3 linked regions of the Alligator mississippiensis genome follow. The protein of the gene in region 2 interacts with the protein of the main gene of each other region in a pairwise test. Links are inferred from orthologs where the notes say so. Each region holds a gene or a part of one and is shown on either strand. Other genes may lie near its edges. The genes, in order: ZYX, VASP and TRIM9.

What was found.
Region 1: the proteins of VASP (region 2) and ZYX interact in binary tests that used the Homo sapiens proteins (3 or more experiments, as listed by UniProt). The link is inferred for Alligator mississippiensis from reciprocal best matches to the Homo sapiens genes VASP and ZYX.
Region 3: the proteins of VASP (region 2) and TRIM9 interact in binary tests that used the Homo sapiens proteins (3 or more experiments, as listed by UniProt). The two-hybrid records come from large-scale screens. The link is inferred for Alligator mississippiensis from reciprocal best matches to the Homo sapiens genes VASP and TRIM9.

Annotation. Positions count from the first base shown.
Region 1 is NC_081827.1:154,142,290-154,152,855, forward strand, and holds the start of ZYX (zyxin), read left to right. Parts: upstream 1-6,632; 5' UTR 6,633-6,719; intron 6,720-6,848; exon of another isoform or gene 6,849-6,970; intron 6,971-10,566. UniProt on the Homo sapiens protein: Adhesion plaque protein. Binds alpha-actinin and the CRP protein. Important for targeting TES and ENA/VASP family members to focal adhesions and for the formation of actin-rich structures.
Region 2 is NC_081838.1:109,043-119,311, forward strand, and holds the start of VASP (vasodilator-stimulated phosphoprotein), read right to left. Parts: upstream 4,341-10,269; 5' UTR 4,295-4,340; coding exon 4,260-4,294; intron 3,144-4,259; exon of another isoform or gene 2,916-3,143; coding exon of another isoform or gene 2,873-2,915; intron 2,639-2,872; coding exon of another isoform or gene 2,580-2,638; intron 2,402-2,579; coding exon of another isoform or gene 2,355-2,401; intron 2,144-2,354; coding exon of another isoform or gene 2,074-2,143; intron 1,538-2,073; coding exon of another isoform or gene 1,399-1,537; intron 1,111-1,398; coding exon of another isoform or gene 903-1,110; intron 1-902. Other genes in the region: RTN2 (reticulon-2), read left to right, coding at 903-1,110, 1,399-1,537, 2,074-2,143, 2,355-2,401, 2,580-2,638, 2,873-2,915. UniProt on the Homo sapiens protein: Ena/VASP proteins are actin-associated proteins involved in a range of processes dependent on cytoskeleton remodeling and cell polarity such as axon guidance, lamellipodial and filopodial dynamics, platelet activation and cell migration.
Region 3 is NC_081825.1:298,807,387-298,817,734, forward strand, and holds the start of TRIM9 (E3 ubiquitin-protein ligase TRIM9), read right to left. Parts: upstream 4,389-10,348; 5' UTR 4,339-4,388; coding exon 3,514-4,338; intron 1-3,513. UniProt on the Homo sapiens protein: E3 ubiquitin-protein ligase which ubiquitinates itself in cooperation with an E2 enzyme UBE2D2/UBC4 and serves as a targeting signal for proteasomal degradation.

The sequences.
Region 1 (10,566 bases), on a different chromosome or scaffold from region 2:
ACGTGGTCCCCACTTTCAAAAAGGGGAGGAAGGAGGACCCGGACAACTATAGGCCAGTCAGTCTCACCTCCATCCTTGGCAAAGTCTTTGAAAAAATTATCAAGGCTCACATTTGTGAGAGCCCGGCAGGACAAATTATGCTGAGGGGAAACCAGCACGGGTTTGTGGCAGGCAGATTGTGCCTGACCAATCTAGTCTCTTTTTATGACCAGGTTACGAAACACCTGGACACAGGAGGAGGGGTAGATGTCATATACTTAGACTTCAGGAAGGCCTTCGATACGGTATCCCACCCCATACTGGTGAACAAGTTAAGAGGCTGTGACTTGGATGACTACACAGTCCGGTGGGTGGCGAATTGGCTGGAGGGTCGCGCCCAGAGAGTCGTGGTAGATGGGTCGGTTTTGACCTGGAAGGGTGTGGGCAGTGGGGTCCCGCAGGGCTCGGTCCTTGGACCGATACTCTTCAATGTCTTCATCAGCGACTTGGACGAGGAAGTGAAATGTACTCTGTCCAAGTTTGCAGATGACACAAAGCTATGGGGAGATGTGGACATGCCGGAGGGCAGGGAACAGCTGCAGGAAGACCTGGATAGGTTGGACAAGTGGGCAGAAACCAACAGGATGCAGTTCAACAAGGAGAAATGCAAAGTGCTGCACCTAGGGAGGAAAAATATCCAGCACACCTACAGCCTGGGAAATGACCTGCTCGGTGGCACAGAGGTGGAAAGGGATCTTGGAGTCCTAGTGGACTCCAAGATGAACATGAGTCGGCAGTGTGACAAAGCCATCAAAAAAGCCATGGCACTTTATCGTGCATCAGCAGATGCATGACAAATAGGTCCAAGGAGGTGATACTTCCCCTCTATCAGGAGCTGGTCAGACCGCAGTTGGAGTACTGCGTGCAATTCTGGGCACCACACTTCAAGAAGGATGCGGATAACCTGGAGAGGGTCCAGAGAAGGGCCACTCATATGGTTAGGGGCCTGCAGACCAAGCCCTATGAGGAGAGACTAGAGAAACTGGACCTTTTCAGCCTCCGCAACAGAAGGGAATTGGTGAGTATTTATTCACCAAGGCGCCCCCGGGGGTTACAAGAAACAATGGCCACGAGCTAGCAGACAGCAGATTTAGATTGGACATTAGGAAGAACTTCTTCACAGTTCGAGTGGCCAAGGTCTGGAACGGGCTCCCAAGGGAGGTGGTGCTCTCCCTTACCCTGGGGGTCTTCAAGAGGAGGTTAGATGAGTATCTAGCTGGGGGCATCTAGACCCAGCACTCTTTCCTGCTTATGCAGGGGGTCAGAGTCGATGATCTATTGAGGTCCCTTCCGACCCTAACATCTATGAATCTATGAATCTATGAGTCCTCGCTCACAGGGGAAGGGGCATGGTGGGGCAGATCGAGGCCTGCATGGTGAGGGAGGTGGTGGGGCTGGGACAGGGGCAGGCACTGCCCAGCTGGGGTGGGGCAGGGTGCAAGGACAGAGCCATGGGAAGCTTGTTTAGAGTCACAGGGGTGGGGTGGAGGCAGGGAGGAGGTGGCTCCCGCTGCTGCATACACCCTTGGGGAAGGCATGGGGGGCATGTGCCCCCTGGATTTGTACATGTGGTAAGAACGGGCTGCCCAGGGGCTGTGCCAGCCTCTTCCCAGCAAGGGGGCTGGCTGCACACAGGGCATACAGGGGCAGGGTGGGTGGCGGTGATGCTGTGAGCGGGGGCTATGATGAATTTTGGGGTGGCTGTAGCCCATTCTGTAACCCCCCCCTCCCAGCACCGCTGCCACCTACCCCTCCCCCATCTTTCCTGAGCACAACCTGGTCCAGCCCCCTCTCCCCACTCCCACCACTGGGAAGAGCCCAAAGTGGGCAGCCCGCCATCATCCTGTGCACAAATACGATGAGCATATGCCCCCCATGCCTCCCTTGCAGTGTGCACAGCACGGAGAAACATTTCCCCCCCTCCCTGAATGAGCCACCCATGGCTCCGTCCTGTTCCTTGCCCCGCCTGGGCAGTGTCTGCCCCAGCCCCAGCCCCAGCCCCTCCCTCATCATGGGGGGGGGCCTCAATCTGTTCTCCCCATGCCTCCTCCATCCCCCATGCCCCTTACCCCCCACACACTTACCAGCCAGACACTGCTCTTCAAGCTGCCAGGCTGCATATCAGCAATCGGATCAGTACCAGCCATTATGGCTAGTTAATAATCGACCATCGGTACTGGCCAAAAAATCTTTATCAGTGCACCCCTACTAATTCTACTTCATTCTTTTTGAGATATGGAGACCAAAACTACACACAGTATTCAAGATGTGGGCACACCATGGATTTGCATAACGGCATGATAACATTTTGTTTTCAATTCCCTTAACGATGCCCAAAACTTCATTGGCTTTTTTTGGTTGCCACTGCACATTGAGCTAGGTCAGAACCCAGTATTATGTAGGTATAGTTGAAGCTGTTTTTCCCTAGGTGTATTTTCCTTTCAAAATTAATCTGCCATTTTTTTGCCCACTCAGTCTGCTTGGTAAGATGTTTCTGCAGCTCCTCTTGATCAGTTTGGGACTTGACCACCCAGAATAATTTATCATCTGCAAACTTGGAGATTTCACTCTGCATCCGAATTTCCAAGTCATTGATGAAAATGTTGAACAATACTGGGTCCAGCACAGATCCCTGCGGGATCCCATTCTCAACCTCCCTCCATCCTGAAAAGTAACTGTTTAGCTCTACCCTTTGTTTCTTGCTCTCAGTCTGCAAAAGAACCTTCCCTTCAATCCTGTCACAATGCAGTTTTTTTAAAAGCCTTTGTTGAAAGTTTTGTGAAAGTCCAAATATATTATGTCAACTGGATCTCCCTTGACCACGTGCTTGTTAACACCCTGCACCAGATTTGTGAAGCAGGATTTCTCTTTACAAAAACAGTGCTGGCTCTTCCCTAGCAGATCTTATTCATTCATATGACTGCTGAATTTATTTATTATTGATTCTACCAACTTGTCAGGGATGAAAGTGAGACTCACTGGTCTGTAAGTTCCCAGGTCACCTCTGAAGCCCTTTTTGAAAATGGGCATTTTGTTGGCAACCCACCAGTCCTCTGGCACAGAGTCTGTTTTGTTATGATAAGTTACTGATAGGTTATTGCCAGCCATTCTGAAATTTCACCCTTGAGTTCCTTCAGAACTCTGGGGTGAATGCCATCCGGTCCTCATGACTTATTAGTATTTCATTGGATTTATTCTAAAACTTCCTCTGTTGTTATTTCAGTGTGGTCCAGCTCTTTAGGCTCAATGATTAGAAGGCACTGATCTGGCATGGAAATTTCCACAGTATCTTCTGCAGCAAACATCAACGCAACAATTTTTTTTAGCTTCTCTCCTATGGCTTTATTATCTGAGTGCACCTTTTACACCTTGGTCATCTAATAGTCCCACCAATTATCTAGCTGGCTTCCTGCTTCTGATGTATTTGAAAAAGTTATTATGATGAACTTTAACATTTTTGCTAGATGTTCCTCAAATTCTTTTTTGGCCTTCCTTATTTTGCTTTTATACTTGATCTGCCAGGGCTTGTGATCTTTCCTGTTTTCCTTACTTGGGCATGTTTTCTATTCTTTAAAGGATGCCCGTTTGCCTCGAATGGCTTCCTTGACTCTGCTATTAAAGCATGCAGAGGTTTTATTGGTGTGCATGTTACCCTTTCTGATTTGTGGTACACACTTTTCCTGAGCCTCTAATACGGTATTTTTAAATACCTTTCAAGCTTCCTGCAAGCTTTTTACATTTTTGACTGCTCCTTTAAATTTCTAACTTCCTCATTTTTGTGTAATTTCCCTTCCTAAAGTTGTATATTGGTGTGGTGGACTTCTTTGGCTTACTCCTTCCTGCTAGAATGTTGAACACGATTATGTTATGATTGCTTTTACAGCATGGCTAACCAACAAATACCTCTTGAACTAGGCCCTGTGTGTTACTCAGGATTAGGTCTAGACTTGCATCTCCTCTTGTGGGTTCCAAGATGAGTTGTTGTAGAAAGCAGTCATTTATCACATCCAAAAATTGTATATCCACGTCATGTCCTGATGAGGTGTTTACCCAGTCTATGTGAGGATAGTTGAAGCCTCCCATTATTATCGCTAGTCCTATTTTAGCAGTCTCTTTAATCTCCCTAAGCATTTCATAATTATTTAAACCTGATCAGGTGGTTGGTAGTACAATCCAAGTACTAAATACTTTGTATTCAATTATTGGATTTCTACCCACAGGTATTCTATAGTTGTTTTCCTTTCAGGTAAGATTTGTACGCTCTTACTAGCTATATTATCCTTAACATATATTGCCACTCATCCACCTGCATGTCTTACTCTGTTATTTCTATATAGTTTGTAACCTGTTAGAACAGTATCCCACTGATTATCATCCTTCCTCCAAGTCTCTGGGATGCCTATTATGTCAGCTACCATTTAATACTAGGTATTATAGTTCACCCATCTTATTTTTTAGGCTTCTGGCATTAGTGTAGAAACATTTATAAATGTCCTTGCACAGCTGCCTGCAACTGTTCGCACTGAGCAATGGATTAGCTCAGCAAGCGGCCGATTAACTCAGCTGGTTAGTGCATGGTGCTAATAATGCCAAGGTTGCTGGTCTGATATCTGTTTAAGACACAACACCTTTTCTGCCTCAGGCAGGGGGCTGGACTGGATGACCTCTTAAGGTCCCTTCCAGGCCTACTTCTCTACAACTTCTATTTGGAACTCGATGTTCTGACTTATCTTCACTATTATAGTTATACTTCTTACTCCCTCACTATCCTCTTCAAAACAGTAGACTCCAAATTAACATTCCACTTTTGTTTTGCATCAGCCCAACCTGTGTGCTCTGTGTCACTACAAAATGTCTAATGCAGGCACACTATGTTAGTGTAAACTGCTGTCTCAACTGGCACAATCAGCAGTGTGCCTTAACTGAGGTAGATCTATGATGAGCATACTTTGGAGCAGTTACACTGTTGGCTAATAACCCTAGCACAGATGGACAATGAAGTCATCTAGGCATAACAATTAGTAAGTTATTTCTTAGGAATCTGGCAACAATAGAACCATTAGCCAGTAGCAAGTATCAAGGCCAGATTCTGAGGGCAAAGTCTGATGATTATGCAAAACAAAGGAGTTTCCCTTGGCACTTTCCCTCAAATTCCTTGGAGAGAATTTACTGAGGGAGGTTGTGCTTTGATAAGAGTGGCTTAAAGAAAAGAAAGAAAACCAAAGATCTGGTATTTAAGTTGTGAGGTCCTTGATGTAGGGGCAAGATCTTTTGGGTCAAATACTGTGGAGTGCCGCTGGCCAGCAAAATAATAGGGAACACTTTGAGTGGATTTAGGATTCTGCAGATCAAGATTGTCACATAGGACTGGCAAAGCAGGAGGAATCTTACTCTGTGTGACTATGCATCGGGACTGAGAAGCATCAGTAGATGTCAGGTCTGAAATAGAAAATCAGGTGGCATTAGCATCATTTCAAGAAACAAAGTGATCTTACTGGGGGCTGAGGTTTGAAATAGTTGAGTCATGTCTCATATAGAGTACAACAGGAATACCTTACTTGCAGTATTGTGGGCTTGGCTGTGGGTTGTTTAAAAAAACAAACAAACAACCAACAAACATTGAGAGGACTGGGAAAGTCTGAGTCAGATGCTCTTGCAGCTGGCTCATACATGGAGGGGGCGGGGGAAAAGGATAGATGGGACATGACTCAGGAGAACTGTAAAGTTGCTGCGTTGGTGGCTAGAAAAGTCACCCATAGGCTGCGGACTGAGGAGTGCCACCCGGGCCATGGCCCGACCAACTTTTAGCATGTTAATTTAGCTAGCTACGCAGTTAAAAAAATAGCTATACAGTTTTAATTGGAATGACAATTGTGCATCTGTGGGTTATATAAGTCATGGGCGACTGGTGTCACCTTAGCTGGGGGGGGAGGGGGCACGTGCCCCCCCCCACAACCAGGGGTTCCCCTGCAGGCAATCTTGTGGACTGGGGGGGGAGGAGTCCCCCCATGGCAAAACTCACTGACCGGGAAGTAGCTGCAGGGCTCCCAGAAGCAGCCACGGCGCTACAGCGAGTGCTCCTGCTCTCCCACTAGTGCTTGCAGGGTGGGCACTGGCGCTCCCGCCTGCCCATCGCTTAAGCGGGGAGCACAGCCTGTCAGGGGGTGCAGCAGCGCTCTCAGGGGGTGCACATGCACTCCCAATGCGTCGCCACGGATAAAAATTAACGTGATACAAGTTGGCCGTGCCAGGCCCAGGTAGCCCACCCCGTTCCACGGCCTACGAAGTCGCCAGCCAGCAGGAGTGGCAGAGGGGAAGCATTGAGGACTAGGCGGATACAAGGGAAAAGCAGGCATGGGATCAAGGGGGAGGAGAGAGAAGCAGTGACTGACCCAGGAACGGATGGGCATATGCAGGGCGAGTCACAATGGGGCGGCTCTGGTAAAACACAGCATCTGGGGCTGGGCAAGGAAAGAAGAGAGGCTACAAGACGTTCAGTTTCCAGGCCCTGAAGAGAAGAGAAGAGAAGAAGAGAAGAGCGGACGGGAGGGCGCCTCCTTCTCCTCGGGAGGAGTCGAGGGCGGGGCTGGGGGCGCAGCCTGGAGGGATGACCGCCGCCAGCCAGCTACGGCTTCTCCGCGCCCCCCGCCCGCCCCGTTACCTCATTGCCACATTCCCCGGTGAGTGAGCTCAGCTGCCCGCGCAGCCTCGCGCTCCTTTTATGGGCAAACAGCGCGGGCTGGGCGAGGCCTTCTCGCCGCCTGCGAGGAAGTGATCGGGCTGCTCCGCTCCCCACCCGGCCACATCCTCCCCTTCCCTCCCCTCGCAGCGCAGACGCGGGCCCGGGCAGGGAGCCGAGCCGAGTCGAGCCGCGGCGGACAGGAGCTGGTCCCCGCGGGCGGGGGCTCTGAGGCGTCGGCGCGGAGCGGAGGTGAGCCCCCCCCGCCCGGCCCCGCATCCCGTGAGGCGAGCTCGGGCCCGGGAAGCGGCTCCTCCTTTCTGTCCCGGAGCCCCCCGCGCCTGACCCGCTCCCACACGCGTGGCAGCGTGACTCCGGGCCTGCCTGGCCCCCTCCCCTCCGCGGGCCGGGCGCTGGCCTGCAGCGGGTGCGCGGAAGGGTTTGTGGCTGTTGTCGAGACTTTCTTCTCTTTTGCCAGCGAAGCTATTTATTTTTTGCAGGAGTGACCCGCGAAAAGTGGGGGGTGAAGTGAATGTGGCGCTGCTTCCAGCTGATCCTTTCACTTCGCCTTTGTAGGGGCACTTCCCCTGTGCTGCTTTGCACTTGGAGGAAGCGGGTGACTGCATGCAGAGCCGAGAGTTAAATCGCGAAATAGGTTACTGGATGGTGTGTCGCCCTTGCCTGACTTAAAGCTGAGATGCCCTTCCCTTCGTGGAAGGAAAAAAGTAACTAGGAGGGCACGGGGGACCTCCTCCCCGTGCGAGCATGGGGGAGCGTGGAGACCGGCTTGCGAAGTTCAGGTGTTTGCAAGGTTTCAAGTCCAAGGTTTTATTGTACTTGAGGATTGGTTTGTTCACAAATGTGAGCGCCTTCCTTAAACTGGGTTGCTTCTGTGTATGAGATGCATCTGTGGCCAGCAGGACAGACAGCAGTTTGTGTTCCAGGTGTGTGGAGAAGACATTGCGGGTGGGAAGGTAGCCTTTGCCTGGGGCTTTGGTGATGCCTTCCTCTACACTTCCGCTGGGCTTCCTGAATATTGCTGCTAATAGCAGGGCAGCACGATGATTTAGGATCGGGCCTCTGCTGCTGACACAACCTTTTTGTCCGTTTATATGCATGGATAGCAGACCTGCCTGAACTGGATTGTGTGTTCAGGGGAGCTGCAGCTCGGAATTGAGTACCAGTAGAACTGGACAAGGGGGCAAAACAGCAAGCAGCTGTATTGCAAGTTATTGGGGAAAGCTGTCCCTTGGCTGCCCCATTTTTCTTTTTTAACTTTCCTCTGACAAATAGGGTGGTGGCTGAACAGACGGGAAAGATCACGTTAAGTAACATTTAGGACAGGCAAAGGCAGCTGCTGTGAATAGAGAGAAGCTTTGATCTAAGTAGAACGTGTAGGGAAAGGAGCTGCTTGGGTATATGGGAGAACGGGACCGCTGCAGGTAATTAATCCAAGTGTCTGCATGAAGCAGCCAATGTCCCAGAATCCTTTCTGTGGAGACTGTCCCCATGATGGTGTGCAAGTACAATCTGGCAGTGACTGACTCATGGCCTGTAAGTTTCTACCTGGCAAGATAAGATTGTAATGGTAATGGGTCTTTCCTTAACCTAGCAAAAGCAAAATAAGCTCCAGTGACTTGCCTAGACTGTAGATGAGATTGAGATCTCTATCCATCACTTAAGATCTATATTAATCAATTAAGGTCTCTGTAGGATACGTCTGCTCTTCAGTGCTCTCAAGTCTGCCATTGAAGATCCTGTCCTGCGCATTTTCTCCCTTTTCATATAAGCACAACCGAGAGAAATGAGGCAGCTCGGTCAGGGGATACTTGTTTCCAGGATCGGCTTATGTAGAGGGAGTGTGGGAGGGTAGAGTATAATTTTTTCCCCCTCTCTTTTCAACAGCAGACTCCAAAGTGTTGGAAAAGCAGTGCCCTTAGTACTCTGAATCTTTCAGAAAGAGGATGTTTGCTGGAGTTAGAATACATACATACGTCTGAAAGAATCATTGGGTGGGGTCTGCGATTTGTTTGCTTATACAGGAGATTTGCACTAGCTGACCATAATATTCATTCAGATATATGGAGGTATTCTGCAGGACTCTGAGAAACTTTAATAGTGCCAATGTCTGATACTGGGTGAAATGGGTCTTGGGTTTTAGTAACTAATGACTGTAGAAAGAAGCAATTATCCAGATAGAAATAGTTCCATCACTGGAGGAGAATGGGTGAGGATGAGGGAATGAGACACATTTTTGATAGAGGTGCACTGATATATCAGTTCATATCATATAGGCACTGATAAAAGGAAAATTGACAGTCGGCTTTTTTCGACTGATGTGGCCAATTAATGTTGCCGATTTAAATACTGCATGCATGTGCACAGCCACAGTATGCATATGGCCAGGAGTGCAGCCTGGCAATTTGGAGCACAGTGTCTGACTGGTAAGTCTGTTGGAAGGGGGTTGGGGGGAGTGGGGCTGGTGCAGGTACTGCCCAGCCAGGACAGCTACAGTCACCCTAAAATTCACCATAGCTTCCCAGTGGTAACTCCTTCTCCCAGTGCTGCTGCCGCTCAGCCCAGACACAGTCCCAGCCCAACCCCCCTGCTGGGAAGAGCCCAGCACCGCCCCGGCCTCAGCCTGCCTTTGCCCTGTGCACAGATCCGGTGGGCATGTGCCCCCTGTGCCTCCTCCAGGGGTGTGCACAGCGGTGGGAGCTGGCCTCCACACCCCCTGGACAAGCTGCTCACGGCTCCGTCCTGCACCCTGCCCCTTCCCTTCCCTTGCCTCAGCCCCATTCCCTCCCTCACCACAGGGGGCCTCAATCTGCCCTTCCCCTAATAGACTTACCAGTTGGATGCTGCTCTCCACACTGCCTGGCTTGCATATCGGCAATCAGATCAATATCAGCAGATATGGCTCACTTAATTGACCGTTGGTATCTGCCCAAAAGATCTTTATTGGCGCACCCCTAATTTCTGAGTGCAAGGGCAAACTTCAAAATCATGGAATCATAGAAATTAAGGTCTGGAAGGGACCTTGAGAGATCATTGAGTCCAACCTTCCTGTTCTGGGCAGGAGAACTGCTGAGAAAAATGATCCTAGCATAGTGTCTGTCCAGCCTCCTTTTGAAGATTTCCAAGGTTGGGGACTGTACCACCCCCTTGGGAAGTCTATTCCAGATTCTGGTCACCCTTACCATAAAGAAATTCTTTACATCCAGCCTGAAACCATCCTTTAATGCAGTGGTTCTCAACTTTTTTTTGCTGTGACCCACTGCTGGGAGCAGGGTGCAGCAGCGGCGCCCTGAGGGCAGGGGAGCTCCCGGCACAGCTCGTCTTTTGTGTGCAGCGCTGCTGGCATTGCCCCCCGCAACCCTCATTTGGGTTGCGATCTGAGGTTGGGAGCTACTGCTCTAACAGTTTATGGCCTGCTCCTTGTCCTCCCCTGGGGCGCCCCCTTTTTTTCCCACCTCCATGGCATCTCCACAGTTTGGAAACTTTGGGCACATCATTAACTTCTGGCCACCTATACAGGCTTCATCAGTAATGGATGATCAGTGGGACAGCAATGCTGAGGATTGCTTTCAGCATCAGGACTGTTTTATAGCTGCACTTATTGCCCATGCTGACTGAAAAAGGGCTGGTATTGTTGAGGAACACTGTCCAAGCAGTGCTTTATCCAAAGCTAACTGACTTTGAAGGTTGGTAGTATGCTTGCCTGCGCACCACTGGGAGTATTACTGTATGTGGGTACTAGGCCGTACTGATGTTAAGGCCATACTGGTGGAACTTGGAGCTGCTGGCACTGCAGACTTTTAGTGCAGGCGAGATCTATGGGCTGAATA
Region 2 (10,269 bases):
AGGCCAGGATTGGCTGGCTATAAATAGCCCGGGGGCCCCTCCCTCCTCCCGCCCCCAGGCCAGGCTCTGTACCAGGGGCTGAGGGGCCTGGAGTGGGTGCTAGGAGCTGGCCTGGGCACTACAGGCTGCATCGCAATGGGCGGCAAAGGTGGGACAGGGTCTAGCCTGTGGGGCTTGTGGCCCTAAAGTTGGGGGGGGGGTGCTGGGATGACAGGGCTGCGGGGAGGTGGGGGGAGGGGGCTGTGGCCCCCCTAGAGTGGGTCAGGCCAAGGAGAGGGGCCTGGGGGCCAAAGAGTAGGGGTGGGGGTTGGGGTGGGGATGAGGGGCCATGGATCAGCATGGAGGGCCCTGGACCCCCCCAGGTGCCTGCCCCTCCCCCGCCTGGCACTTGGGCCTGTCAATTAGGGGTGGGGGAGGGGAGCTGACAGCTGCAGGCGCTGTCCCCCTCCCGCAGCTAAACTTAGCTGCCCCCCACCCCAGGAGGTGGGGACCCCTGGGACCCTTAAAGGGACAGCACCCTCAGCCAGGCTTGGGTCGGGGTGTGCAGAAAGAATAGGAGAAAGCTGGGTGGGCACTGGTGCACAGCCCAGCCCTGCCATTTCCAGGCCCAGTTGCCAGGCACCTGCCCCAGAGCTGGGGCCCTGCCTAGAGTGGGGCAAGGACTCTGGAGGAGATACCTGTGCTGGTGGGTGGGGCTGAGCAGGGCAGCCTGGGGGTGGAGAGGATGTGGCGGGGCTGAGCCTGGCAGTGGAGCCATGGGGGCATTTGGGGGGCTGTTGGGCACTGAGGGGAGGTGGGGGGGATGTGGGGAATGAGCCTGGTGCTGGGGTAGTATGGGGGGCCAAGCAGGGGCCAGAGGCCATGGGGGTGCCTGGCCTTGACCCTGCCCCTCCCCCTGCCAGTGCTGGAGCTGGTGCTGTGGCGGGACATGCGGGCCTCGGGGATGGTGCTGACTGGGCTGGTGCTGGCGCTGCTCTGCTTGGCCCACTTCAGCGCTGTGGCTGTGTGCGCCTGGGCTGCGCTGGGCACCCTCAGCATCACCCTCTCACTGCGGCTCTACCACATGCTGCTGGGCGCCCTGCGGCCTGGCCACCGCCCCAACCCCTTCCAGTGAGTATCGGGGCCCCGACACTGACCCCTCACCCCCAGCACCTCCCAGCAAGTCTCCAGGGACCCCTACCCCCACCACCATCAGCTAGTCTCTGGGGGCCCCCCCACCACCATCAGCTAGTCTCTGGGGGCCCCCACCCCCTTCCAGCTACTACATGGGGACCCCCAGCCACTCACCCCCAGTTCTGCCCCTGCCCTGGTCTCCAGCCCCAGGCTCCCCCAGCAGGGGTCACTGTGGGGGGCAGAGGTAGAATCTGATTTGTTGCTGACCCCCTTTCCCCGCTGCAGGCCCCTGCTGGACACAGATGTGTCGCTGTCCCCAGAGCAGCTGAAGCATGTGGCTGAGCGCATAGGGCAGCACATGGCCGCTGGTGCCCGTACCCTGCGCCACCTCTTCCTTGTCGAGGACCTCGTGGACTCCCTCAAGGTGCCCTCGCCCCTGACCCCCAGTAACCCCCGGTGACCTCTGGGAGGGTCAGCTGCCCTCAGGACGTACCCCCAGGCTGCCCCCTGTGACCTCACACGAGGGCTGTCCCGGCAGGGGTGGGGGTGTGAATCCCGATGCTTTGTGGGGTGGAACAGAGCTGGATGGGGCAGCACGGTGTGGTGACTCCACACTGCTGCTGGCTTCACGTCCAGCCACTTGCCACCCCCCTCCTCGCTGCCAAATCTGCCACCGGCTTCCTTGTGTCTGGGGGCGGGGACCCGCACAGGCTGCTTTGCCCTGGGCCCCACACCCTGCTCAAGTGGTCTGCCTCACACCCACCCCATGGGCAGAGACAGCCCCAATCCCACCCCCGGGGCTGAATCCATGCCAGACCCTGGTATCAGCCCCATCCCTTCCTGCCCATGCTGTTGTGCCAGGGCCTGATCCTGCCCCCAACCAGGCCCTGGATAACCCCCACCACAGGCCCTGGGTTAGGGTAGGAGGAGCTGTGCTGACCCCCCATCTTGCCCCCTCAGTTCGCCTTCCTGTTCTACATCCTCACCTATGTGGGTGCCGTGTTCAATGGGCTGACACTGCTGCTCATGGGTGAGAGGGCACTGGAGGCAGGGGCAGGGGGGCATCTGGGCCCAGTGGGAGAGGGATGAGGGGAACCATGGGGGAGGGGGTGGCATGGTCTGGCTGGGGCTGTGTGCAAATGGGGGGGAGCTGTGTGAGGGCAGGGTAGGGAGTGGCCCAGGCAGGGAGGGCAAGGGTTTGGGGGGGCATGGCTTAGTCTGATTGTCCTGTTCTCCCCCAGGTGTGATAAGTGCATTTACCTTCCCTGTGCTCTACCGGCATCACCAGGTGAGTGTGTGCACATGTGTGCATGTGCAGGGTGGGGAGAAAGCCTTGAAGCAGAGGGCAGATGAATGCCAGTGTCCCTGGGGGAGACAGGCTGCTAGCCCTGTGTCCTGCTATCTCAGGCAGGGAGGGGGTCTCCAGGGGCTCCCCACCTGCCTCACCCCCAGTCCATCTCCTGCAGGCACAGATCGACCAGTACGTGGGCTTGGTGAGGAACCAGCTCAGTCACCTCCGAGCCAAGTGAGTGCCGTGGGGGGGGGCTTCCAGCACTGCCCTCCCCCCCAGAACAGCACCCCTAGTGCATGGGGGCTGCCCTGCCAGCTGGCAGGGGGAAATGAGGGGGGTCATGTGTAATGCAGTCCCCAGTGGGGGCAGGGATGAGGGTAGGGACTCCCAGGGGGCAGGAACAGGGTTGGGAGCCCCAGGGGGGCAGGGCAATGCCCCGGCATGTGACATGTCTCTGCCCCCCTCCAGGATTCAGGCCAAGCTCCCAAGTGCCAAAGCAAAGGCAGAATGAGCATCCACCCTGCCCCGCTCCACCTGAACCCCCTCTGCTGCCACCCTGGGCACAAGTTGCCCATGGGGGGATGCTTGGCGCTGATGGGACGGGGCTTACCCAGGGATGGGCTGGGGATGGGGGCAGCTTGGTGCTCCGGGGCACGAGCTGGGGCAGGAGCCACTCCCTTACCCATGCCCACCCCGGCTGTGTGGGGTTTACACTTTAATAAAAACTCTTGTCACAGAACCGGAGTCCTGTCCATGGAAAAGGTGGGGATGGAGCTGAATACACCGCATTCTTCTCCCCTAGCTGGGAGGGAAGAACCCAGGCATCTGGGTTCCCATCCCCAAAACCCAGGCATCCTATCCCCATTCCCCGCCCCCCTCCTGCCCCCCCAACTGCTCAGGTTAGGTGCCCCTCCCCCGCAGCCTGGTGCTCAGAGGCTGCTGTGGCTCCCTGAGACCCCTGTCCTGGCAGGGGGGAGCAGTGCCAGAGGGGTCTGGCCAGGACTCCTGGGTTCTGTTGTTGGCACCAGGCAGGTACCTCAGAGGCAAGCTACAGTTGGCCTCCCTCCACCTTCCCCAACCCCCTCTCCATCTGCCCCGGGGTGTGGGAGCTGATTGGGCACCTGCCTGACATGGGAGGGGGCAGCCAGGCCATGCTGAGGAGGGGGTATCAGACAAGGCCTGAGCCCTGATCCTGGGCTGGGGAGTGAGAGATTCCCCAGAGCCATGGCTGCCCTAGAGGAGGACTTCCTCCCTCCCCTCCTCCCCCATGAGCCATCCTCACCCCAAGCAAAGTGAGGGAACCCAGGAGTCCTGACTCTCACCCCCACCCCCCTCATCCCAGACTAAACCACCGCAGCCCACTCCCCTCCCAGACAGGGGATAGAACCAAGGCGTCCTGGCCCCCACCTCTCTGCCCTTCCTGGCTCACCTGGGCCAGGCTGTGGCCCTCACCCTGAACAGAGGCCCCAACCCCACTCCTGGGGCAGGACTCCTGGGTTCATTCTGGGCGGGGAGGGGTGCCCCTGTTTCGCTGCGCTGGGCCGCACGGTGGCGCCTCCGGCCCGGCCAAGCCTCGGGATCCCGCTTCGCATGGGGGGGGGGGCAGCAGGGCCAACCCTAACCCAGCCCCGCGTCCGCCTCCTCAACACCCAGAGCCAGTGGGTCAGCGGGGTGCCGGGAGCCGGGACTCCTAGGTTGCAGCTGCAGCTGCAAGAGGTCTAATGCAGGAGGATCAAATCCATCCCGGTCGCGGCGGGAGGAGGGGCCCTGGGTCTCTTCAGGCCACTGCCCCTCCCCGCACCTGCAGGGGTCCCCAGCCCGACCCCGACCCCTATCGGGACTGCACAGCACGTACCCCGCATCTCCCGCCCTGAGTCGTGCCCATGCCATCGGAGCCAGGCCTGGGACCCAGGGGCTGCATCGATCCGGCGTGAGCAGAGACCTGGGCGCCGGGACTCCTGGGTCCCCCTGCCGGAGAGGAAGAGCCTGATCCAGTCGGGAATCCCGGAGCCCCTTCAGCCCTAACCCTAGTCCCAGCCAAGGTCTCGCCGCCCGCAGGCGGCTCCGGCCAGTCATTCCATGCAGGGAGTCTCCAGCAGAGGAGCTCTGCTGGGAGCGGCGATGAGCCGGCAGGGAAGGCGTTAACGCGGGGGGGGGGGAAGAGCTACCCCCCCCAGCCTTGTAGGACCCAGCCCTACCCAACCCTTGCATCGATAGGCGTCTCCAGCCAACCCCGCCCCTCCCCTATAGAGGTCCCAACCCTGCCCCGCCTCCACAGCTATAGGGGTCCCCAGCCCGGCTCCTACCCCACCCCTACCAGGTTCTGGTCCCGCTTCTCCTCTCTCCCTCCCCTGTAGGGTCCGGGCTCTGGCACACCCTCACCCCTATACAGTCCCACCCACTCCTCCACCACACCTACAGGACCCCTCACCCACACCCGTCTAGGCTCTGGCTCTGCCCTTCCCCCACCTCTACAGGGCTCGCGGCCCTGCCGCTTCCCTGCCCCTATAGGGTGCCGGCCCCGCCCCGCCCCACCTCTGTAGGGGTCCCTAGCATCCTCTCCTCCATATCTATAGGTCCTAGTTCCGCTCCTCCCCTATAGGGCCCTGGGCTCGCCCCTGCCCCTACCTGGGTCGCGGCCCGGCCCGCACAGCCCGCCCCCCCCCCCTCACCAACCCGGCCGTGGGTCTGGGTCCCGGCCGGCGGTGCTGACGCCGGGCAGCCCCGCAAGGCAGCTGCCCCCGCGCTATTCTTAGCGCCGCGCGGCTAAAAATAGCGGTCGAGGCCGGGACTGACGCCGCCGAGCGCAGGGGCTGAGTCAGCGCTGCGGGGCCGGGCAGGGCCGGGCCGGCCGAGCTGGGATGCCTCGGTTCCGCGCCTGCGTGGGGAGCCGGGTCGCCTCGGTCCAGTCTCAAATGCAAGGGGCAGGGGCTGGACGCCTGGATTCTGTTCCTGGGCGGGGGATAAGGGCCGGGACGCCTGGGTGCCATGCCTGGGGGTGGAGGCCGGAACGCCTGGGTTTTACCCCTGGCCCTGGGAGGCGGGGCTCCTGGCTCCAATCTCATGGGGGGGGCAGGACGCCTAAGTCCAGCACTTGTAGAGGAGGGATAGAGTTGGGGGCGGCCAGGACGCCTGGGTTATTTTCTTGGCTCTGGAGGACTCCTGGATTCTCCAAAGAACCCTCCGCCCGGGTTCCCGGCAGCAGGTGCAGAACTGTGCCCCCGCCAGCCCTAAGAATGGGACCAGCCAAAACCGCGGGGATCCTGGCCAAGGCCCCCGGGGCTCAGTGTGCTAAGTGTGTCCTACCCAGGGTGTGACCCCCTCCAAGGGCACATTCAGGCCCCCTGCACCTGGAGAACCCAGCCCTACCCCACCAGGCTGAAAAGCATGGAGCTGGGGTCTCAAAGCCAGCCCCACCCCCCTCGCCCCCAGCCGTCGGCTTGGCCCCTGCTCCAGCATTGCCTCCACCGCAGATACCGAGTGCCCCCACACCCCACGCAGGGGGACAACCTGTTGGGCAGGGGAGGGGGTGGAACCCAGGAGTCCCAAGGCCCAGGCACATGAGCGCCCCAGAGCAAAGGCTGCCCTAGAGAATGCTGGGAAATTTCCACCTCATCTGGGCTACATCGTGTCATGTCTCAGGGCAGCAGGGCTGGGAGCTATTGCGCCCCCCCCCACTGGCTCGTGAGGCTGGATGGAGGGGGTCCAGCATGCCTGGCGGGGAGGGGCTGGGGCTGCCAGGCAGGTACCAGGCCCCTGGACTCTGAAAGCAAACCACCTATGAGTTCCCAGGCCCAGAGCCCCATGGCTGGGCACAGCCTGTGGGAGCACTGGCTCCATGCCCCCCTGCAGCCAGCTGGGGCATCCTAGCCTCAGACACTGGCCCCTGGTGTCCCCGTCCCAGGCTCAGAAATGTCCACACAAGGGGTCCCCACCATCTGATCCCCCACTTCCCTCTGCAGCTCCTCACACTCGCTCCCCAGCCCAGCACGGGCAGCTCCATGGCCTGGCCAGGGACCCTCATAGAGCCACATGCCCTATGAGGATCCTCTGTGATGGGCACTGAGTGACAACCAGACTCCTGGGTTCTCTCTCCTGCCTGCTGGACTGGCTGAGGTGTGGGGCCTGGGGCTGCCCTCTTGGCCCACCCAAGTTGTCATCTCCCTGTGCCATTCTCTGTGGGTTGTGGCATTCTGGGCAGGGCTGGCCCTGCATTTGGGGGTGGGGGGGGGGTCTGTGATAGGGCTCCCTCTATGGCTATCCCCCCCCCCCCCCCGCCGCGCAGGGGCAGAGTAGGTATCTGGGGCAGCGCGACTCTGCTTTGGGATCTCTGCAGATAGGCACAGGGCAAAACCCATCCTGGAGTCTGGCCGGCAGTGGAGAGAATGTCCAGAGGTGCCCCCCCCACCCTGCCCCGTAGCTCTGCTGCACCCTGTTATCCGTCTGTCCGTCCTTCTTCACATGTTCCCCCCTCTCCCCTGACACATTGAGGAAAAGGCTCGGTACTCCCCACATGGCCGGCTGGCGGGCGAGGTGGTGGCAATGTAGGTGCCCAGTCCCCCGCGCAGGGGAGTCCTGGTGCATCCGCACGCCCGCAGGACAGCCTGGTGCCCGGGGTTAGAGCCTAGTGCCGGGCGGGAGAAGCCCGGGGTCCAAGCTGTGCAGCGGGGCAGCGAGGAGGAGATCCCAGGGCTCCCTGCATGCCCAGCGGGAGATGCTCGGTGCCCCGGTTCCTGGTGAAGAGAGATGTCCGATGGGGGTCCCTGCAGGAGCCCTGTGCTGGGTGCAGGGGAGATCCTGTGCCCGGGGAAGGGGCGGGGTGCATGTCCAGTGCTGAGGGAGGTGGATGTCTGCTGCCCCGGGGTGGGGGTGGCTGCATGCCCAGTACCCACTGCTCAGGGGGCTGGATGATTGGTGCCCTGGGTGGGGGGGGCGGTGCATGCTCAGTGCCCGGGGATGGATGCCCAGTGCCCAGGAAGGTGCATGGTGCATGCCCAGGGAGTACATGTCCGGGAAGGGGGGGGGGCGGGGTGCATGCCCGATCCCCAGTGGGAATGCATGCCCGGTACCCAGAGAGGTACATACCCGGTGCTGCATGCCTGATGCCTAGTCCCCGGGGGAGGGTGCGTGCCCGGTGGTGCATGCCTGGTGCCCGGGGCGGGAGTGCATGCCCGATGCCCGGGGGGGTAGGGGGGGGCATGCCCGGTGGTGCATGCCCGGTGCCCGGGGGGGGGGGGGGGGTGCATGCCCGGTGCCCAGCCCGGTGCCCCCGCCCTCTCCCGCTTCCAGCCGCGGCCGCTATTTTTAGCAGCTCCGAGCCAAGCCCGAAATAGCGCGGCCCGATATGGAGCGCGATGGAGTCACAGCTTCCGGCACCGACGTCGGCGGCCGCGGCTGGGCCGGGCCCTGCGCTCACGGCGCCCGGGGTCTCCGCGGCCGGGGCGAGGGGCGGTGCTGAACTCCCCCCCCCCCCCCCCCCGGCTCTGCGCTGCCGCCGCCTCGGGCAAGAGGCTGCTTAAGGTGCGGGGAGGGGGGCAGAGGGGCAGCCAGCTGGAGGCGGGGGGCAGGGCCGAGGGCTGCGCTGAAGCTGCTTCTGGGGGGAGGGAGAGGCAGGGGGTTGTGTGTATCGGGACCCCCTCCACAAACACTCTCTCTCCCCCCCCCCGCCCTCTCTCTCTCTCTCTCTCTGCTGGAAGGCAGCTACTTCTAGGGTGGAGCGAGGAGGGGAGTGGTACACAGGGGACCACCCCCCCACACTCTGGTGCTGGAAGGCAGCTGGTTCTGGGGTGGAGCCCCGGACTGTGTACACAGCCCCCCCCCCCCCCACGTGCTGCTCTAGGGGGGAGCTGAACTGAACTGGGGGATCCAGCTTGGGGACAGGCGTTGGGTAAGGGGCCCCTGGAGACACTGTGGTGCTGGGGAGGGGGCGGTTTCTCCCAGAAGCAGTAACCCCCCAACCTCTGGGGCAGGAGCCAGAGGCTAGATCTAGGCCCCACACTGATGCCCCTACCCTCACCCCACTGGCTCTGACAGCCAGGTCCGGACCTCACGGCAGAAACTGAACCCAGGTCTTCTGGTGCCGCCCAGTGCAGCTGCTTACTGGGCCCAGGGCCAAGGCTGGAGTGGGGCCAAGCCAGGGCTGGGGGGGTGCACACACGCAGGCCTGCCACACACATACACACAAACTGTGCACACCACACATGCACACAGACCCACACAGAGTCCTGCCATGCACACAGACACACGTGCTCACTGCCCTGCCCTGCCCCACCCACACACAACTGTGCACATACATGCACATGCATATATAGAGCACTGTCATACACAGAGACACACACACACACACAACTCTGGCCCCTGGACACACACACAGCTGTGCATCACACAACCTCGTCTGTAGCTGGCACACACTGTCTCTCCCCACATTTAGCCCCACAGCACACCCCACAGCACACACAGCCCCACACAGCACTCCCCCCCACCACAGCCTTACAGTGCACAACAACCCTGTATGACACACCCAGCGTTTGCCTGACTCATACCTCTGCATACCTTGCACAGCTCTCTTTGGCCCTCCAGCTCCCTGGACAGGCATGCTCCAGCACAACACACACCTGTGACACCCCCGCCAGCCTTTCCAGCCCTGCACACACAGACCCACCACACATCTCCAGCCCCAAGCTCAGGCCCACAGTTGTGCATAGAGACAGCTGTCAGCATGAAAACCACACACACACAAACCCAGGCATCTGAGACAAACACACACACACACATTCACATGTGCACACGTGTGTGCTCTCTCTCACACACACACACACACACACACACACACACACACACACACACACACAGAACCCAGGCATCTGGTACAAGCACACACACAGAAACACCACAGAGAATCCAGGCATCCAGGACACACTCTCTCTCTCTCTCTCTCTCTCTTTCTCTCTCTCTTTTGCAGGGACCCATAATCCCCGCCCACCCCAGCCAGGCACAGCCACACTTGCTCGCCTGCCAGCCAGACACGTTCAAACAGAGCATCTGCTCATGGACACACAATGACCCTCCCCACCTTCTCCAAGTCACCCACAGGCATACACACAATCACACACTCATACCAGCCAGGTGACAGCTGCTCACGTCACCCCCATGCTGGGGTCAGCATCTGCTCCGCACACACACACACATGCAGACACATGCATGCTAGGACCTTCACACACAGCGTTTGTGTGCATGTGCATGCACTCACGCATGTGAGACACCTGAGTTCTGTGTGTTCTGTATGTGTGTATGCGTGGCCTAGATGCCCAGGTGGTTTGTGTGCATGCACATTTCCCAGACACTGGGGCAGGGGGGGATCCCTCTGTCCCTTGGTTCTGTACATGTGTGTATGTGTCCCAGACACAGGGGCGGGGCGGGGGGGGGGGAAGGAACATGTGTATGTGTCTTGGACACCTGAGTTCTGCATGTGTGACCCAAACCGAACACCCACACACGCCTACTTGCCATCGTCCCCGCTGTGCCAGGGCTGCTTCATGGAGTTAGGCCCCAATGGGCTGGGGGGGGGGGGTGCCGGGGACCAGGCAAGATTGAGCCCACCTGGGAGGAAGGTTTGGGCCTGGGGCAGTGGGGCAGGGGAAGCTGTTTGCAGGCCAGTTACATGTGCACATGCATGCACACGCTTCCCTGCTGGGAACTTCCAGGCTTGAGGTGAAGACAGGGCAAATGGGGGCTGCTGCCCACGAGATGCCTCAGTACCCCTTGCTGTGCTCACTCAGTGTCCCCATCCCCCTGGGAAGGAGCAGGCCATGGACTGGTGCTGGGGGGCAGTGCAGAGGGGGACAGCTCAGAGCTTGCCCTACTGC
Region 3 (10,348 bases), on a different chromosome or scaffold from region 2:
AGAAGACCCTCAGATATTCAAGTCATGAGCAGCTTAAAACCTGGAGACCAACAGAAATAACCAAGCTGTTGGGGTTTCAGTGCTTAATCAGGACAACTTCTAAACGTGGAGAACAAGAAAGGTTTTTAACCGGAGAAGCAAGGCTCTGAAACAACTTTCCCTTTGCCCCAGAAGCAGCCAATACCCTACCTCACTTAATGGTGGAGCTTCCTCGGTTTCTAAATGATAACACAGTTGCCCGCAGTAGCACCATAATGGACTTAAGTGACCTCAGAGATCCCTTAGCTGGACTGACCCTGTATTCATTATTCATGCAAACGTCCTCGTGAGAGATAAAGCGGCACTGGGAATATTGCAAGAAAGACAAAGTTTGGCCCCATGTGCCCTTGAATCCAAGAAGACTAAGCTCGTCTGCATAAAAGGAAAACTCCAGAGATCAGTGATGTATATATTATGAAAAGGAGGATGTTTCAGATGATCGCTCCACTTTCCTCTTGGTCCCTGTGCATACCATCTCAATAGCTCTGCTGGAAGGCAAGGCCACACAGAAAAGGTCTTATCTTGTTATCTGTGCCCATTTTCAAAATCAGCGCTCTCTGAAATATATACATTTGAATCTGCAATTCTCGGCTGTGAGAACGGCACCGTCAGCACGGTCTCACCGCATAGTGAAGAAGTGGGTCACTTGTTAAAGAGCTCTCTAGGGAGAGGTGATTGATCTCTTCCCTAAGTAAAGCACGCTGTATTTAACAGCTGTGGCATTAGGCCGTCATAACTTGATATATGAATACTGCTTTCAAGAACAACAACTCATCAAGGCGTTCTCAGCTCAGCGCGGGTTTAACCAAGGACCGAGTCCTTCTCATAGTAGAAATAAAGAGACGTTACTTGTTGCCACTGTATATTTCCACTGTCGGTTTGCAGAGCATGATCCGAACGTTGTCATGCCCTCTTGCACGCTTCAAAGGTGCATTAGAGCCAAGAGCCCACCTCGAGCACAGCACGATGACCAGACGGACGAGAATGACATTCCCTCCGTCTTTTAAATTAGCCTTTTTCAGCCAGTCCTGTTTGATTTGCAGCGTCTCGTTCTGTGACAGGTCGAAGCCCCCCTGGGTAGTGTGGGGGCACAAAGACTCAACACCTGAAAGGCATTTGAGTGCTCATCTACCCAGGCCCCTTGCAGGATGAAGCCTTTAAGCGCCAATGGCTGATGCTCTTTATTTGCAATACATACATTCCCCAAAAGCCTGACCCATGCTCTGGCTGCCCACTCCCAGATTCGAGGACTCAATCCTATTGCATTTACAAGACACGCTCTCCTGGCCTAGCTGCTACCCAGCAGGGAGTAGCAACAAGCCTGGCATCTCCAGCCTATCCATGAGCCGAACGGCAGGGTGACTCAGGAGAAAGCACAGCCGGACCGAATGTTCGGAAATCCGGCTCAGGAAGCTAAGACATGCAAGGGAAGTGATCACCTCCGGTGACACCAAAGGCCTCCAAAAGAGCATCTCCGCTCGGCTTCATTTCCGAAGAGCAGCTGAGTTAAAATCCACTCATGAAGGGGTCAGCCTAGGACTCTCTATATTCATTAAAGGGACTAAAGCCCCTCTCTTTAGTATGGGCTTAACTGCAGGCACGGGCCTTTTATAGCTAACGAGGCTTCTTCAAAGGCTTAATGTTATGCATGTACTTAATTAAAGAGCTCAGCTGGACTGAGCCCTAACAACGCCAAGAAGAGGAGGAGTTAAATTGGATAGACTCATAGCCAAACCGTGTGATGTCACTGCTCGCCTGTGATGCGATATTTGTTTGGGAGGCAGCTCCCCAGGGCCCGCATCCGCCTCCATCCCTCGACTGCAAGGCTGTACGGAGATGCGCGGCTCAGCGTAACGCAATACATAAGTACGCCCCTCCATGGGAAACGCGCTTGTTCCTGGCCCCCGCGAGAAAGCCAGGGAGGCCCCGACACCCAGGGGTGACTGGTGTCACTGGGTGGATGAGGACATGCACCAGAGTGTCGTAGTGGGGAGCCTGTTCATCGGGCTGTGGGAGGGAGACATGCACACACACACCCATGCAGAGGACACATACACGTGGAGGACACATGTATACGGTGGACACACGTGCATGCACACACAGATGACACACACACGAAGGGCAAACACACACAAAAGACAAACACATGCACACCCCCCACCCCCCCACCCATGCGGAGGACACATACACGTGGAGGACACATAAACAAATACATGGAGGACACACATGCGTGCAGACACAGAGGACATGCACACATGGAGGACAAACACAGACATGGAAGACAAACACATGCACACACACACGGAGGACACACACACACAGAGGGGATACACACACAACACACACACATACACATGGAGGACACACACACATACACAACCACCTGGAGGACACACATATGCATGCACCCATGGAGGGGACACACACACACACACACACACACACACACACACACACACAGAGGACAAACACATGCACATGGAGGACACGCACACGCGCACGCATGCAAGGAGGACACACACACACACAAGGAGGACATACACACACACTCACACAGGGGCCACACATGGACATGCATGCACACAGAGTTCACACTCACACACACACACACGCACGCACTCCCTCCCCCCACTGCATGCTCTCAGGAAGACCGCGCTCCCAGAGCCACTGGGGCATCGCCCCTGCAGGAGCAGCCCCGAGGGCCGTCAGAAGCACCCCCTTGCCCTTCTCGCTCCCCCATGCCACCCCGTGCACTGCCCACACATGTGCTCCACCACGGGGCTCTTTGCCTCCACACCTCCGCACATGACACGGCGGGACGGCAGCGTTCCTGGAAAGCGTTTCCTGAGGGGCCGGGGCAGCTCTCCCACACCGCTGCGCGGGGGCTCCCGGGGGATCCGCACCGTGTCTCTCTGCATCCCTGTCATTTCTGCCCTAGTTACCTCAGGCAGGGTCAGCCACACGCCACACAGACCCGGATTACCGGAGAGGGGACGCATGAAGCAGAGGGAGATGCTGCCCTGTGGCGGATCTGTGTGCAACCAAGCGGGCAGCCCTGGCTCTGCCTGCCCCCTCTCATGCCTCCATGCTCACCCAGGTCCCCAGGGCAGGCTCTCCCCCCATTCGTGGGGGCCCTTGGCAGGCCCATCCCTCCCTGCTGCTTTCCCGGCCCAGCCCTGGGGACGCACGCCGAGCAGGGAGGAAAGACGGACGGGGAACGCCGGTGCACCCCTTCCCCAGCACAGGCACGTGCCAACCCCTGGCAGAGGGCATGTGGGGACGTGTCCCCACGGAGCCGTCCCCCATTGCAAGGCAGGGAGAGCATCAGATGCGCAGCCAGAGCGAGGGCACGGGACCGCATCCAGTGGCAGACCCTTAGGGCGGACCCCGAAGTGCAGGATTTGGCCCTCAGGGGCCTGCCACACACCGAGCCCCCCCGCGGCCGGGCAGGGCAGGGCAGGGCAGGGCTCTCACCTTGTGCAGCTTCCACATGGCGCCCAGGGCCTTGACCTCGTGGCTGGAGTGCTTGCCCTCCTCCAGGCACTGGTAGCACACAGGCATCTTGCACTGCACGCAGTACATGCTGTGGTTCTCCAGCTCGTGATCCGTGCAGGTGGAGATCTTGCGGGGGCTCAGCCTCCTACTCACCCGGCCCTGGGCCGGCGGCACCAGGCGGTGTTTAGCGAGGGGGCCCCGGGGCGGGTGGCACCTCAGCCTGCAGGGATCGCAGTAGAAGACGTCGCACTGCTCGCACATCACCGTGGCCTCCTTGGGCGCCTTCTCGCACAGCTGGCAGCGCAGCGCGGCCGCCTTGCTCTGCTGGTAGCGGTCGATGACGCCCTCCAGCACCCGGTTCTTGGGGAAGCCACGCAGCCCCCGCTCGTCCAGGATGAGGCTGCGGTGGCACTGCGGGCAGGTGATGCAGGCGTTGCGGGGCACGGGGGCCAGCGTGGCGGCCGGGGGCAGGTGGGGCGGCGGGGGCACGGCCGGCGGGAAGACCCGCACGCCGTTGGGCGACTTCTGGCACGGCGTGGTGGGCGCGCTGGCGAAGCCGCCGTAGGAGCCGTAGCCGCTGTCCGCCTCGCTGTACAGGCTCATCTTGTCCAGGTCCAGGTAGTCGTAGTCGGAGACCCCGGAGCCCGACGCGCGGCGGCTCTGCGGGGACTCGGCCTCGGGGGTCTGCACCAGGATGTTGCGGGCACAGGCCTGGCACAGGTTGTGCGAGCAGGGCAGGATGATGGGCTCGCGGTAGAAGGAGCCGCACACCGGGCACTTCAGCTCCTCCTCCATCTCCTCCATCGGGGCACGGCTCAGCACCGCGGGCAGCGACCGGCTCCGGCTCCCGCTCCGGCTCCGGCTCCGGCACTGCGGCCAGCGCCGCTCCCAGCGCAGCGCACCGCCGCGCCGCCCCGCCCCGCCCCGCGCCCCGCCCCCCCGCTCCCATTGGCCGCCGCCCCCCGCTCTGCGCAGCGGGCGGGGCCAGGGCCAGGGGCGTGCAGCGCCGAGCACTGCGCGTCCTCCTCCTCGCCCGCCCTGGCACGGGTGTGCCCAGGTTACGTGGAAATGCCCTGTTTTGATTGCAAAGGCCTTATTTGTATTTACAGTCACCTGCCTTTGGATGGCGTGACGTCACCTTTATTGGCCTGACGTCACCGTTATTTGCATGGCGTCATCTTGATTGAAACGCCTTTATTCTTATTGGTGTGGCATCATCTTTATTGGCATGGCGTCATCTTTATCTGCATGACGTCATCTTGATTGAAATGCCTTTATTCTCATTGGCGTGACGTCATCTTTATTGGCGTGGCATCATCTTAATTGGCATGACGTCATCTAGATTGCCGTGACGTCATCTTGATTGAAACGCCTTTATTCTCATTGGCGTGAGGTCGTCTTTATTGGCATGGCGTCATCTTGTTTGGCATGGCGTCATCTTGATGGAAATGCCTTTATTCTCATTGGCATGACATCATCTTTATTGGTGTGACATCATCTTTATCTGCATGGCGTCATCTTGATTGAAATGCCTTTATTCTTATTGGCATGACGTCATCTTGATTGAAACGCCTTTATTCTAATTGGTGTGGCGTCATCTTGATTGGCGTGGCGTCATCTTGACTGAAACGCCTTTGTCCTCATTGGCGTGGCGTCATTTTTATTGGTGTGCCGTCATCTTTGTCTGCATGGCGTCATCTTGATTGAAACGCCTTTAGTCTCATTGGCGTGGTGTCGTCTTTATCGGCGTGGCGTCATCTTGTTGGGCGGGCCACTCTTTTATTTGCATGCCATCATTTTCATTCTAATGCCCTTCTTTTTACTGGCATCGTCTTTCTTGGTGTGGCGTCATCCTTATTTGCATGGCATCATTTTTATTTAATTGCCCTTATTTTTATTGCCATGGCATCATTTTCATTGGTGTGGCATCATAGTTTCATAGTTGGTAGAGTCGGAAGGGACCTGAACAGATCACATCCGACCCCCTGCCCATCTTTATTTAAACCGCCTTACTTTTATTGGTGTGGTGTCATCTATATTGGTGTGGCATCATCCTTATTTGCATGGCATCATTTTTACTTAACTTCCCTTATTTTTATTGCTGTGGCATAATTTTTATTGGCATGGCATCCTCTTTATTTAAATGGCCTTATTTTTATTGGTGTGGCATCGTTTTTATTGGTGTAACATTATCTTTATTTGCATGGCATCATCTTTATTAAACTGCTTTTATTTTAGTGGTGTGGCGTCATCTTTATTTAAACAACCTTATTTGTATTGGCATGGCATCATTCTTATTTGCATGGCGTCATTTTTATCTGCATGACATCATCTTTATTTGTATGGCCTCATCGTTATTTAAATGTGCTTATTTTTCTTGGCATGGCATCATTTTTATTTGCATGGCATCATCTTTATTTGCATGGCATCATTATTTAACTGCCCTTATTTTTACTGGCATGGCATCATCTTTATTTGCATGCCATTATTTATCTCCATGCCATTATGTTATTTGCATGCTGTTATTTTTATTTGCATGCCCCTATTTTATTTACATGTCATGATTTGTATTTACGTCCCCTTATTTTTCTTTGCATGTCATTATTTTTCTTTGCATGCCTTCATTTTTATTGGCAGGGAGTTATATGTATTATTGATGATATGCAGTTATGAAGGGCCATCATGCACAGATTGGTTGTGGAGGTGCCACCACCCCTTCCCCCGGGCCAAATGCCTGCCCTTGCCCTCCAGCCTGACCCACGGCAGGGGTGCCCCGTGCCAGCCCTGGAGCAGTCACACTCCACTGGACCAGGGGGTTATTCACAGAAGCAGAAAGCAGCAGGGCTGGAAGGGACCTTCTGAGATCAACTAGCTCAACCCTCTGCCTGAAGGAAGCCTCTGCCCCGGTGTGGCACAGGAGACCGGGCAAGATGGACTGTGGTCTATTGTCTATGGTCAACAGCCGGTCTTATGGTCTGGCCCAGTAAACTGCAGTTCTGATGTTCTCATATGTTTCACAGTAAGATGGGTCCCTTCGGTAGCACCTGGGCTCTCCTGCAAACACGTAAGCACGGGCTTAACTTTAAGCTGCATGCACAGGGTCCATTGAAGTAGAATGCAGTCACGTCAATGGGTGCAACTAAAAGTCATCACGTGCATAAGGGCTTCCAGGACCTGGGCTTAAATGTGCTTTTGCATGTGTAAGTTAGGGTGGGTAGCGCCTAGGCTGGGTTTTTTGCAGCAAATAAGGCAAGTGCAGAACTGCAGAGGGCACGGTGCCCGGGCTACACCATGCAGATGTCTCAGAGAGGTTGGAGGAGAAGAAAGCACGCGCTGCATCTAGACCAGTGGTTTGCAACCTATGGCCCGTGGACCCCTGGGGTCCTGCAGACTATGTCTAAGGGCTCCAGGAAAGATGACTGTGATCAATCAGCAGTATGTGAATCCCCACACTTACAGTTCAAAGGGGTCCACATCTCCATTTGAGATTTTGTAGGGGTCTGCAAATGAATAAAGATTGAAAACCCCTCGTCTGGAACCAATGCAACTGGGTGTGCAGTGAAGGGAAGTTTTCTGTTAGCAAGGCACAGCCATGATTTTTCTGTGCATAAAACAGGCCTGTTAGAAAGGCGGGGGGGATCTGCAATACGACTCTACTGAGCCGGGCAGAGATTTCAAGTTCTCATCCGACGTCGCTCAGCACAGGGCAGCTCCTGCCCACTGCGGTGTGGGTGCATGAATAGCACTGAAACAGGATCAGGGCCAGGCAGCTTGGCACTGGCCAGCCCCGTTCATTTAGTCCTGCATGCTGCACCTGTGCTGGGTGTTGGACTTAAGTGGGATAAAGCCCTGCAGCTGGAAGAGGGTAGACAGGCTGAGTGTTTGGAGGGGTTTTCCACCTCTCTCAGAGGCATGAGTGTTGGCTGCAGCCCAGGCTGGGGGTTGTGACTGGGCAGTGCCAATTCTCCTTCCAGGATGTCAACTTGGAGGTCCCTGGCTTGAACACCTTGCCCTTCTGTTCAGGGTCAGATTGATGCCATATTTGGGGTCAGGAAGGACTTTTGCCCCCTGATTAGATTATATGGGCTGTGGGGTTTTGCCTTCCTCTTAGCATGTATTAGCAACTTTTACAGCAAGGGGACATTGGCCACCACGGTCCTCTGCTTTACCTGGGGCAGGTTCGGGTGCTGTGCTTTGCGGCTGTGTGACAGGGTCACCTATGTAGTTTTAGTAATAGGCTGGACAAGGATTTCCATGGGCTGCTTTGCATTGGGACGACCCTGTCTCTGAACTAGGTGATGGCTGGCACTGCTGGAGGTGCCTTTGAGGCCTGCCTGCCCATGGTAGGGTCCCTAGAGCTCCTCCCTGGAGCTCAGGGGAGCGGATGAGCCAAGGCTCCCAGTCACCCTACAGTGGAGGGGCGAAAGGTAAAGCAAGTGAAAGAGGACCTGTGGCTGCCTTGGCATAGTTAAGGGTGGGAGGAAGGGGTTGGGGTTGGAAGCTGTAGTGACCACTGGGTGTTTGGTGGCACAGAAGGGGACACTGAGGCTGGCTCGCTACATCTCCCCGACCTGAGGGGGTGCAGACTGACTGCAGGCAGCACTGTGAGCCAGGCCTCATTTCTCTCCTTGCGCACATACAGGAGGGAGGAGGTGGGACCCATTGGCTCCAAGGAGCGTGGGAAAGCAGGGGGTGGCCATGGCGGGCATCTTAGCACAGACAGGCTCCGACTGCTGCGTGGTTCACGGAAGTGATGCTGCTGCCCATCACGCCCGCATCTCCCACTGGCTTCCTCTGCTCTCCCCCCGTAGTTTCTTGCTGCATACAGACGGGTTTGCACTGGGACAGGCTTTCCTTGCTGGAGCTCTTACACCCATCCAGCCTCCCCAGCTTTGGTCTTTGCACTTAGCCCTTCAGGTAAGGCCGCACTCCCCTGGCATCATTTATTTTTACCCTCCCCACCCACAGATTCGGACTCTTTTTAAGGCATGTCAAGAGCTGCAGACTGTTCACAGGGACGATCTGCAAGGGTAGAGGTGTGGCGTGCTCCCTGCTCGGGGCATGCAGCATGGATCTATTGGGAAGTACCCAGAGGGAGCGAGCTCTGCCCTTCAGACGCCCCCTTTTTGATCTGGGGATAAGGGCTGGGGTGCTACAGTCACATACAGAGGCAGTGCTGGGCTCCCCAGAGGCTGGGCAACTTCTCTCCTTTACTCCTCATTTCCAATACTGGTGCTGAGGCCACCTGAATATGGCTCGGGGAGGCGGGGGGTACTTTTCTTTAGCTCCTGTGTTGGAAGTATCATGTATGGACTAAAAAGAGCCCAGCCTGAATCGTCTCCAGGAGCACGTGCGCAGTCTATCACTACATGCACGAATGCCTCCTTATTGGCGACGTGGGCTCCAAAACAAGACACGACAGAAGCTTACGGCTGCCGAGGAAAGCTCTCTCCGGGCTGTTTCGGATGACATGGTAGCTGCGTTCTTTATATCTGATGAAGCCGTGTGGGTTTTTTCCCTAAGATATTATTGCACAACACACCTCCAGACACACAGGGCACGAGCATCCACTATACATCGCTTTGTGCTGGATTGATTGCCTATGTGAAGAAAGCCATCAAGGCTGGAGTAGATGCTAATTGTTTGCTTTGGATCATGCAGAACAGAAGAGGAACTTCATTTAGGAAGGGTCTTGCAGTCTTTGCCCAGCATGACTTGAAACGCATGCTGAGAGAGGCACTATCACGTCTCCTTCAGAAACGGGAGATGTGCTGAGAACTAGGCACTCACAAAAAAGGGTTTCCCTCTTTCGGAGTAGGGCTGAGGGCTGGAAGGGACCTCAGGAGGTCACATCTAGTCCAAACCCCTGCTCCAAGCAGGACCAGCCCCAACTAGATCATCCCAGCCAAGGCTTTGTCTAGCCGGGTCTTAAACACCTCCACAACCTCTCTGGGTCACCTGTTCCAGTGCTTTATTACCCTCCTGGTGAGAAAATACTTCCTAATATCCAACCTCAACTCCCCTTGCTGCAACTTGCGCCCATTGCTCCTTGCTCGGTCATCTGCCCCCACTGAGAACAGCCCAGCTCCATCCTCTTTGCAGCCCCCCTGCAGGGAATTGCAGGCTGCTATTCAATCCCCACTCAGTCTTTCCTTCTCCAGACTAAATAAGCCCAGTTCCCTCAGCCTTTCCTCACAAGTCATGTCCCCCAGCCCCCCAACCATTTTCATTGCCCTTCACTGGACTTTTTCCAATGTGTCTACATCCTTTCTGCAGTGAGGGGCCCAAAACTGGACACAGGACTCCAGATGTGGCCTCACCCACTCTTTTCTAGGTCCTATACAAAAACAATGCTGTGCGTGCATGATGTTTATGGACCTCCACCTGTGCAGCTTTAAAATATCCCATTTTCTTCCCTTGCATGAAGTAGCAGTTCTTGCTGGAAAAGAGCAGGTATGAAAATATATACTGGCCAGTGAGCCTGTGGGCAAATGGCATCAGAGCACCTGGCACTCGTGAATGTGGTACAAAGTGTAGTAGCCAGTGCTTAGCAGCCAGGTCACTATTACAGCTTACTAATGGCCTTGCCTAGTGGTTAGCAGCACCTCTGGATGTAGAGGATGCCTGTGCAGGGGGGAGAAGAATTGCTGCAAGAGCCAAACTGGGTCAAATCAGCCTGGGAGCACGTGGAGCACCTGAAAAGCTTCTGCAAAAACGCTGGCACTGAAATTAAAAGGGGTCTGGAGCTGAGTGTGTTGTGATCTGGCAAATGCCAAGTGTGCATGTAACCAGACATTGCATGTAAGAGAGGGGT